3 linked regions of the Drosophila melanogaster genome follow. The protein of the gene in region 3 interacts with the protein of the main gene of each other region in a pairwise test. Each region holds a gene or a part of one and is shown on either strand. Other genes may lie near its edges. The genes, in order: CG32756, CG13461 and CG8507.

Region 1 (3,760 bases), on a different chromosome or scaffold from region 3:
ATTCCCCTCGGATATTCCGACTTCGGGTTCTTGAGTGAATGCCGGGGGGTAATCGTAAAAATCATTAATAGAATCCAAAGCGTTCGATGCCTCCCTAGTGACCTCCTCATCATCAGAAGAAGAATTCTCATCATTAAAAGAAGCATCCTCATATTTAGAGGCATCATCATCTTTAGAAGAAGCATCCTCATCTTTAGAAGAAGCATCCTCATATTTAGAAGAAGTATACGCATCTTTAGAAGAAGCATCCTCATCTTCAGAAGAAGCATACTGTTCCTGAGATGCAAGTTCATATACACCATTTCCGACGGTTGGATTAAATTTGGTTAGTTGTCGGCCAGACCATCCTTGGGAAAGCCCCGAAGATGTGGATGACTCTTCGTCATCATCAGTGAGATCATTCTTGGTGTCCATTGGCGCTAGCTCTACTTTTAAGATTACATTTACGTTTGTCTCTTGGGAACTCTGCGAGCTTTTGTACTCGACAAGCGGATTGGAGCGGCGCTGCATTACCTTGCGCTCCATATGATTGGTATTGATTTCAAGAGCCTTGCGCTTCCTGCAATTGCGAAAACATATCTTATTAATCGGTAAATGTGAACACATTGTACCAATCCCACCTAATGCGAGGAGCTTCTTTTGGGCTTGATGCCTTCGAAGAAGCAAAGTAGCCGTTTGACGAAGAATAGGGCGCGACATCCCGTGCCCATGGCGAAGAAAGCGATGTCCAATTAGGCGATGGCTTATCAGCAAAAAAAGTACTCTGCGCCTTCTGGTAGGCAGCGGAACAGTCCAGCAATTGCTTGTGCTCATTCATAAAAGCCTCGAGATCAAAGGGCTGGGTTTCCACGGTCACTAAAGAAGGCATAAGGTTTTGCGATTACTAACTAAGCGAATGGAATGCACAAGAACTTTCGATTTGCAAACTTGTTCTTAACTAACCTCTGCGCAGCTGGCATCCCTCGGTGCGATACTGGTTCAGCTCCTTGTCCTTGGCATGGATAATCCCTAGCAGAAGGGGTATCTGAGCCCGTAGTCCCAAAGCCGTGGACATTGTGTTCAAGAACATTTGGCTATACAACTTTGGGAATAATGGCACTAATTATTATAGTTCTTGGAACTGATTCTGCTAAAGTCAGTTACTGACCTGTGCGGCATCCATGGGTCTCAGGTGCCATTCCCACTTGAGGAAAACTTTGAAATTCGCCATGGCATACTTCAGTTTCAGGACGTTCAATGGGTGCTGGTAATCCTGTTCGACATGCAATGGATCCTTGTTGAGCAGGACCTGGCGCACCAATTCCTCGGGAAACTTCACACGCGCGTTGAGCGTCTGGTCGAAAAAACGTGTTGCACTCACACTATTTCACCACATGAAAATGCGGAAAACTTACTTTCAAACGCTGCTGGTAATCGCGTTTCATCAAAGTCTCGGAGTAAGTCCACTTCTCGCGAGGACGGAAAACGTGAATAGTTAGGGTTTCATCATGCTGCCCCTCAGTGCAGGCGAACAGGTGCTGCAAGCCATTTATATTCACTACTTTCAATAGCATTTTGAAGTTACGTTTAGAAGGATCAGAAATCAAAGGAAAGAAACATCACTGACGCACGCCGTAGAGATGAAAAAGAATCGATAGTACCGTCTAGGTATCGAATTCTTACCAATCTATCGATTGTTCTTTGGCGGTAACGATGGTGATGTATAAAGATTCCCAACAAAAATGGGATGTAACTCTATACCTATTTGAACTAACCATTAGAAGTATAAATCAAATATACTTTATAACAGCATTATATTATATATTATAATGTTATTATATTATTATAATATGAAACAAGTAGTACCTAAACCTTTATGTGTTCACGCCACATCAACAGAGTCTGAGCGTAGGCTGGACGTATAATAGGTAACCGCAGGGCTTTCCTTAAAACGATCAATGCTGAAATACTTTTTCTGCAGGGAAATGCATGGATAGAATGCCTGTGCGTATTTCAATTAACTAATCCACGCGGTTGTATTTATAGACATGTATTTATATTATATTATATATTATAAGATCCTAAATGTGTAGATCAGTTATAGTTGTGACCCACCGATGGGAACAACACATTATTGTGGGAATTCAGGGTTCAGGAAAGCATTACTCAGGATCCAAAACTAGCCTCGTCTAGCTGTCTTTCATCCTTCTGTTGTAATCCTAGATCAGCCTGAAAAGGCTGAAAGCTTCTAAAGCAAATGGGATAAGGCAAACTTTAAAGATTATTTATTCAAACTGCAAACGTTTCTTTTTTTATCAATTTTATTAGTAATCGTGCCAAAAAATATTTAACATAAAATGCATTGATCAGGAGGTTATAACCGCTGGAAAGCCCTGACTAATCGGTCGATAATTGACCAGAAAATTTCCGGGCAATCATTTTGACAAATTTTAATATTATTCGATATGTTCCATAGAGATAGGAGTTAGTTGCTGCTTCTATGCAATGGAACTCAACTTGTTTGTGTACTGAGGGTGTTTTGGTAAGACGTTTTAAAATCTACAACACTATACATTGTTTTGTTTCATTTGATTGCTGTTCGATGGACTTAGGTACGAATACCTAATCAACAAATGGAATCATGTCTTTATCCTTTTATCACTGAGGATTTGTGTTTGTCAACTTGTTTGTGTACGTGTACTGAGGGTGTTTGATAAGACGTCTTTTTAATATCTACAACACTATACAGTTCTTTGTTTCATTTGATTGCTGTTCGATGGACTTAGGTACGAATACCTAATCAACAAATGGAATCATGTATTTTATCCTTTTATCACTAAGGACTTGTTTTTATCTAAAAAAAAAAAAAAAAAACAAAAAAAAAAAACGTATGTACTAAGTGTGAAGTTTTGCTTGTAGCACCATTTAGAATGAGATCGTTTCCAAATTATTTTTGCGCTAACTTATTGATATAGCTCTGGATCGCTTTTTCGATGCGTTCAGTTGAGTAAATCAGTACGGCTTTGATATCTTCCAGCACAGTTCGAAGAATTAAATCCCAATTCTGATCGGACTTTCCGACTTTGGGTTCTTGGATGAGTTCCCTTGGGGCATCGTAAAACTCTTTTAAAGATTCAACCTTCTTTATGACGAAATTGAAAGCGTTCGATGCCTCCCTAGTGACCTCTTCATATTCAGAAGAAGCATCCTCATCTTTAGAAGAAGTATCCTCATCTTTAGACGGAGCATCCTCATCTTTAGAAGAAGTATTCTCATCTTTGGAAGAAGCATCCTCATCTTTAGAAGAAGCATCCTCATATTTAGAAGAAGTATCCCCATTTTTAGAAGAAGCATCCTCATCTTCAGAAGAAGCATACTGTTCCTGAGATGCAAGTTCATATACACCACTTCCGACGGTTGGATTAAATTTGGTTAGTTTGGCCGACCATCCTTGGGAAAGCCCCGAAGATGTGGATGACTCTTCGTCATCATCAGTGAGATCATTCTTGGTGTCCATTGGCGCTAGCTCTACTTTTAAGATTAAATTTACGTTTGTCTCTTGGGAACTCTGCGAGCTTTTGTACTCGACAAGCGGATTGGAGCGGCGCTGCATTACCTTGCGCTCCATATGATTGGTATTGATTTCAAGAGCCTTGCGCTTCCTGCAATTGCGAAAACATATCTTATTAATCGGTAAATGTGAACACATTGTACCAATCCCACCTAATGCGAGGAGCTTCTTTTGGGCTTGATGCCTTCGAAGAAGCAAAGTAGCCGTTTG
Region 2 (3,220 bases), on a different chromosome or scaffold from region 3:
GCCAACTCTTCCGTCACCTGACGATGTAAGTGAACTACAATTTAAGAGATATATTTAGGAACTGAGAGGCATATATCATAAGCAGCTTTCTTTGCACTAAAAATAACTTGAAAATATATAAATTCTGTAGCACGAAATTATTCAAATTCCCCATATAATCATTGTTGCTATAATATCACTGGGAATGGCAGTCAAAAACTTTAGAGATATATTGTTTTACAATAAAATAGCCGTAAAAATTGCTAAAGCAATTCTGTAACACGGGATTTTAACGAAAATACTTGGGGTTATGACATACAGCTTATCTTGTGTTATGGTACTTTAAATGAAATAATTTACTTTAACTATATATATAATATCAGCATATTAGCAAAATCAAATTATTTAAAATCTTGTGGCCAGATTTTAAATACCAAAGACTGTTATTTAACTGACATTTAAGCATACATTTTTTTAAAAACTGATGGTATGAAAGCGTATTCATTCTATATAATTTTTTTAACTGTGTAGACAAGCCCCTCAAGCTAAACAAATTCTGCAAAAAGTATTATATACTTTGTGGCGTTTTTTCATATCGATCGACATATATAGCTTTAATTTATTTACTGTTTTATTTGTTGTATAATTTTAAAGCATTTTGTCTAATGTTTATTGTTAATGGATATTTTAAAAACACGTGTTATTAATCGAGGAAAAGGGGCCTTGCTTGGATGAGAAGAGGTCCGAATGGTCGAATCTGGTTGTTGGGTGGAGCATCCTGCTCCTGATCGCCTTCTGAATCGTTATTATTATCCGATTCGGTATTATCATCAGACCCGTTGTTATCTTCCTCATCATCTCCGCTTGATTCATTATCTGACTCCTCCTGATTATCCTCGCTATTTTCATCATCCTGGTTATCCACATTTCCAGAATCTTGACTTTCTTCAACAGCAGGTTCTTCCTCGGCAGCATCGGAGTTTCCCTCGCCATCATTACTGGACGAATCCTCATTGGTGTTATCCTGGATGGAGGACTCCTCATCCTCAGCTGGCCGTGCAGCCACAAGACCAACAGCCAAAAAGGCCACAAGAGCAACGACAATTAGGAATCGCATTTTTTTGTGTTCTTGTGCTCAGCGAAGTTTTAAACTGATTTGAAACTTTACTCGATCAATCGCTTTTTATATTAAATGCCTTTTTTTGTTATTTGAACGAGTCATTTACGAATTTCATATTTGAACAAATGCTTATCCCATTATTGCGTGGTGACGCACAATCTTAATTGATATTATTCTGGGAATTGTCCAGAATTGTTTTGAGTAAGTGGGTTCGTTGTGCTTGCCTCTATTCTGATTAACAGGTATCTAATAGTCGTGGCACTTGACTATAGCGACCTCTGTTTTTATTTTGTCATATTTATTACACACTCGCATGCAATCATTGAATTAAAAAGATAGTGAATGGTTTTTGGCCTTTTTAAAACATTAGATACAAATTTTCTTACCTTCATTACTATTTACTTCGCCTAAAGGATTTTCATTTCCGTCGTGGTAATATGTGCTAATATAAAGCAAAATAAAAAATCTGATATCTCCAAATCGAACTTCAAAACGTTTATTGATTTCATTTAACTTATAAAGACCAAAAAACGTATTTAAAAGTTTTACCCTGAATAAGTTTTATTTTTATTTTCTTTATTGGTGATTTATCAGTTGCTCATTTCATATTTTGTGTTTGAGAAATTGCATCGGGGGAGAATTTCTAAATATTTTTGTATTTTCGAATTTAAGCCGCTGATGTTGTAGAGCACCAGTCAACTGGGGCTTTTGGGTTGACAATAACGATAACTTCTCCACTTGGATGGGGAAGTGGGCTTGCACTCACAAAGGCCATGGCCAAAAGAGCAATTATCACGAGTACCATCAGAAAGTGCATCTCTATTTCGTAGACTTAGTTCTTCTTTGAATAAGTTTTTTCAAAGTACTGCACTTCTTATATATGAATGCCGTGTTTGCTTTAAAATTTCTATTGCAAACTGCACAATGGCTGCACCTTACTAATGTTAAGTAAATATTTGAGAGATAAAACATTTATTGATCTATTGAGCCACACATTACAGGCAGAAAATTATTTCTTTTTCCCTGCGCTGAAATAAGAGTATTAAGAGTGGCTTTGAGGCCAATTAATTAAATAAAAATTGCATTTTTAAGATTTTGTTTAGTATGTAATTCTTTACAAAATCATTTAAGAGCTGTATAAAAAGAAGTTAAGTAAAAAGCACCAATTATGATGGGTGTTTCCAGAAATGTGTGTATTTACTAGAATAACATAAAAACCTTTACTTATTTGGTTGTTGAAGATGAACTGTGTATTTCTGTGTAAACAGTTGTTTAAACGTCTAACGACCGGTGAAAGCGTGTAGATAAAGACAATAAAGAATAGAAAGGGTTAATTCCCATTAGAGCTACTCTTCATCTTGATTGTACTGGATGCTCTCGTCGCTTTCGGAATCATCATTGTTCTGGGAATCGTCCTCCGGGGATTCAGGCTCATCTAAGTCGTCGTCGGACTCGGGTTCATTTGAATCCTCATCGTCTTTCTCATCATCGTTAGCATTATCCTGCTCATCAGCAATTCGTTTGTCCTCCTCGAGGTCCTCCAAGTCGTCAATGTCCACCGGATTTGCGGAAACTGTGGCCAAAAGCACACATCCAAACAGGGCAAGCAGCAAATAGGCACGCATTGTATTGTCAAATTTAGTTTTCAACTAAGTTCAGTTCCACATTGAAAATACGCTTTTATAGCAAAATCTCTAAATTGGCAGAAAAATAAAAGCGCGCATTGTGACAATTTATTTGGTTCGTTTTGTGTTTACCCCGCGACAGCTGTTGCCTTGGTTTGAGCGTCAAAAAATGAGGCAAAGTCGTGCGTAAACATTTGACTGACGGAACTTGGAGAACGTATAAAGATTACAGTGAAACGTGGCTAACGTCATACTTTTATATACAATATATTGTATAACCTAAGGAAAGCAAACACAGCATGTTATAATCCATAGTTAACTTGCTTATGAAAATGTCTATATCAAATTAATGACTCCTTTTTATTTCTTTGTAGAATAACCACTGTTCCACCTACAATTGTTTACAAATTTTGGGAATGGCCCTCCATATTCTTATTTTCTGATTCATAGCACATTAGCTTGTTTTGCTCCGCTTACTCGAAACTTCTTAATATTT
Region 3 (3,760 bases):
GCGTTTTGTGCCTGCTATCATATGGTCACACTAATTTTATCGTTTTTTTTAACGGTTTATTCTTAACCCTATATTGTACTTTGAATATATTACAAATTTATTTTTTCCACATTGAATTTTTTAAAGGTCAAAATAGATTGTATATAGTTCAAAATTAAACTTGAGATTTTATTTATGTTCAAATGATATTTGGTATCAAAATTATATCTATGCTGAATAGCAGCAAGAATGAATATTTTTGTGCGTTACACAAACAGTTGCAATTAAATCTAATTTATTCGCTTGGCACTTTCAGTGTTTCACTTTCAAATTATTAAAGCTCGGTGTGCTTGAAGATGGTTTTTTCAATGTTCTCCTGGAGCTTCTCCACTTTGCGAGTTTGCTTCTTCAGCTGATCCTCCATTTCCTCAAAGCGGCTGCTTTTGTCCTTCACTTTTTCGCCCTATAAATAATTGTTAGTTGGCTTACAAACTTGATTGATATTAAGAAACATATACCTTGTATTTCTCCTTTTGCAAAGCATGCTCGGCATGCAAGTGACGCAGCTTTAATAGGCGACTTTCGAAGTGATGCAATTCGGTTTTAATGGACTCCAGTTCTTTAACCGTAAAATTGCTAGCCTGGGCCACTCGCCATAGACCCTGGACCTTGGGTTCAATGAAGTCCTGACTGTGTGGACCGGAGGACACCAGGCGTTCCAGCCTATCGTAGTGATCCTTGATGCCCGTGTGATGTCCTCGCAGAGTGTTAAGGTCGTTCTCGAAACTCTTCACGTTTTGCGCATGGGTTTTGATGTCGTTCTCATTGACATCATTCGAAATCAGATTGTAGGTGTCCAAGTCTTCCGTGTTAATAGCATCTAACGAGAATAATCAATGAAATTAATTGATGCTTTTCGTGCTGTTTTTAGCCAAACTCACTTTCATGCTTGTCGGTGTCTACGGTGCCAATGTTTTCCAGCAAGCTGTAGTACACATCCACTTTATCCTGGTGATGGTCAAACTCCTGTTTCAAGGATTTCAATTCCTCTGCAGTAAATCCGGAAATCTCGGCCTTCTCCCAAAGTCGGTTGAGTTTCTTGTCCTTGAAAAGACTCTTGTTTCTGTGTCGCTCCTCGGCGTCGTGGAATTTCTTAAAGTTAACTTGGATGTAGAGAAACTCTTGCTCTTAGGAAAGATGATTTAGATACGTACCTTGTAGGGCTTAAGCTTCTCCGTATCCTGAGTGTCGTCAAAATGCTCTAGCAGATCGTAGCTGCTCATGATGCCAATGAGCTTGCGGCGCAGTTCGTCGGCCTTCAGCCCGTCTTTGTCCTTGTGCTGCGAGTTGAGCTGCTTCCAAGCGATCTCCTCCTTATCGTGGATCTTGAGTTCCATGTACAGTGACTTGAGCTTGGGCTCTGTTAAGCGCTGTAACCGAGGTTAGTACGGTTAAATATGAGATATCTTATGGTGTCCACTTACATTCTGCGCCTTGGCCCACACGAGATTCAACTTGGCCATGCGAAATGGCCGCTGGATGCTCTTAAAATCCGGATCATACTTCTCCTGCTTTACTTGCTGAAAATGCGGGTCGTTGGCCTCCTTGCTGTACTTCTTGCTCTGCTTTTTGTCGGCATCCACGCCCTGCAGTGCAATAAGTACGGAAAGTGCGATGGCTGCAACAACGAGAGCTGACCTAACCATTTTCCTCGTGGTTTTTATTTCGGTTTTAAAGCTTGCAATTATTGGTGCAGTGCTGACCTGGCTAAACAGTTATTCACAACACGCAGTGTGGCCATCTAGCGATCGCATAAAGCTTTGGTGCTGACAGTCTAGCTTTTATTTTATTTTAATGCTTTGTTTTTCGCAGTTACGATTTTTGATCTTGGTCAATTTACAACAATTTGTTTGATTTATTTGATAAAGATGTTTAATAAAAATAATTCAATTTGCAGTAGAAGTGAAGAAAAATCATAAAAGCATGTTTGTCTAATAAATATAAAGCTACATTTTCCTGAAGTGATAAGTAGATATTGCAGCACTGACGTGACGCTGTGATGTTGCTAACTGGACTTGGTCACACTGCCAATTTGCATCAGCCGCCTTACCACGAAATTGCGCTGAATTATAATTATTATCGAGTGCTTACTACCTAGGAGTGATTACATTGAGAAACCAGGACAATGAGAACGGAGGCAGCGGTCAGTTGTTTCCTGTTGGTATTGCACAGGGTATGCTGTCAGAGCGGCAACGATGAGTCCTGGCTGAGTCCGGATCCCGCCTGGTCGGACCTGGTTAACGATATCAATCAGCCCGGTGAATTGTGCCAGTGTCCTACGTGTCCAGATGTGTCTCCAGTGGCCATGGAGGATGCCGTGGCACTCACATACTTCAAGAAGTTCGTCAATCTGCTGTTCCAGCGCAAGCGTTTTCAGGTATGATCGCTGTTTAGACCAAAGTTGGCGACATGACGTCATATGTGTGTAACTTTTGTGTAATTAGTACGATGTTATGTCGGCGGTCCATAAGCGATCGCTGCTCTTCTCCCTGATCCCATCGCAACTGGATGAACTGGAGAGGGTGCAGGATGCTCGGGATTTGGACGTTTTGCTGACTAAGATATTGGAGAGTGCCGAGGAGGCTCCTTTGTTTAATGGAAGATCCGGATGCTCATACGTCCGACACGGCTTTTTCTCCTTATTGGTGGATATTTTCAAGGATGTAATTGAACTGACGCAAACGACCGAGGTACCTGTTGCGCCTTTTTATGGAAACTTGACTATTTGCTATTTAATGGGTTTTCTCATTCCTAGGTGAAATTTATCCTATATGCAACATTAGCAATTGCACTTGTCGTCATTGTGCACAAACGTTTCCGTGTCGGACTAATTTCAATTGTACTAGGAGGCGTGTTTCTGTGCGGATATATTCAGACTTATTTAGAATGCAACAGAGTAGGTCTAGCCTGAAAGTGTGTGAAATTGTGCTCATTATATGTTTATAATTAGGAATTAGACATCGATAGGATGATAGAGGTCGTAAATCATCACCATGAGCCTGAATCGTCCTGGTTTGGTCGACTGTTAGGCTACATATACCAAGCCTCACCAAAAACTAAGAAGATAGAAATGATCAAGTAAGACCATAACATATAATTAAATAAGTCGATTGATGATCGTTTCCATTCAGAAAATCCGCAAAAATCAGCATTTCCATTTGCATGCCAGATCAAGTGTTCTTTATGTACATGAATAACATATTTATCAAGCAGTTGGAAATCATGATAGAAAAGGTGTCGGTAACTATGACTAAACTGTCCTGTAAGTATTTAACCAAGAATTCGCACAGTCAATAATTACCACTTACCACTTAATTACCATATTTACCCATAGCCGGATTATCCTTCCCGTATAACCTCCTTGCACCAGTCCTTTTGGTGTTTTTAGTGGGTTACACCATAAAGCTGTGCTTTAAATACATTTTAAGCCCCCGAGCATGGGCGTCACTTTTACACAAGCCAGCGCCACAAGGGACACCAACGATTCACCAGTCCATTAATGCACGGGCGCCCGAAGGCGACTCCATATCGGGCGACAACTTAAAGATGCTGCTAAATGTAATTAACGTGAGAAATGTTCCAAAGGAGTCGCTACAGCGAATTCCAGACGTTTCGGGCGTCCAAGAGCTAGAGGAAAAGCAGGAAGCTCCCACCACACCATCGAAAAAAGAAAATTTAGATGAAAGCGATTCCAGCAGCAAAAGCAAGAGCAAAAGCTGTG

The links.
Region 1: the proteins of CG8507 (region 3) and CG32756 interact in a two-hybrid assay, tested with the Drosophila melanogaster proteins (one large-scale study listed by BioGRID).
Region 2: the proteins of CG8507 (region 3) and CG13461 interact in a two-hybrid assay, tested with the Drosophila melanogaster proteins (one large-scale study listed by BioGRID).

What each region holds. Positions count from the first base shown.
Region 1 is NC_004354.4:5,943,554-5,947,313, reverse strand, and holds the start of CG32756 (uncharacterized protein), read right to left. Parts: upstream 1,633-3,760; 5' UTR 1,554-1,632; coding exon 1,395-1,553; intron 1,334-1,394; coding exon 1,148-1,333; intron 1,082-1,147; coding exon 943-1,081; intron 856-942; coding exon 621-855; intron 560-620; coding exon 1-559. Other genes in the region: CG12728 (uncharacterized protein), read right to left, coding at 2,927-3,641, 3,703-3,760.
Region 2 is NT_037436.4:15,051,380-15,054,599, forward strand, and holds CG13461 (uncharacterized protein), read right to left. Parts: upstream 1,112-3,220; 5' UTR 1,097-1,111; coding exon 683-1,096; 3' UTR 552-682; downstream 1-551. Other genes in the region: CG43680 (uncharacterized protein), read right to left, coding at 1,767-1,916; CG18649 (uncharacterized protein), read right to left, coding at 2,446-2,724.
Region 3 is NT_033777.3:9,789,495-9,793,254, reverse strand, and holds CG8507 (uncharacterized protein), read right to left. Parts: upstream 1,773-3,760; 5' UTR 1,686-1,772; coding exon 1,464-1,685; intron 1,410-1,463; coding exon 1,194-1,409; intron 1,132-1,193; coding exon 921-1,131; intron 860-920; coding exon 498-859; intron 443-497; coding exon 314-442; 3' UTR 157-313; downstream 1-156. Other genes in the region: CG12945 (uncharacterized protein), read left to right, coding at 2,165-2,416, 2,484-2,729, 2,795-2,935, 2,990-3,117, 3,171-3,301, 3,374-3,760.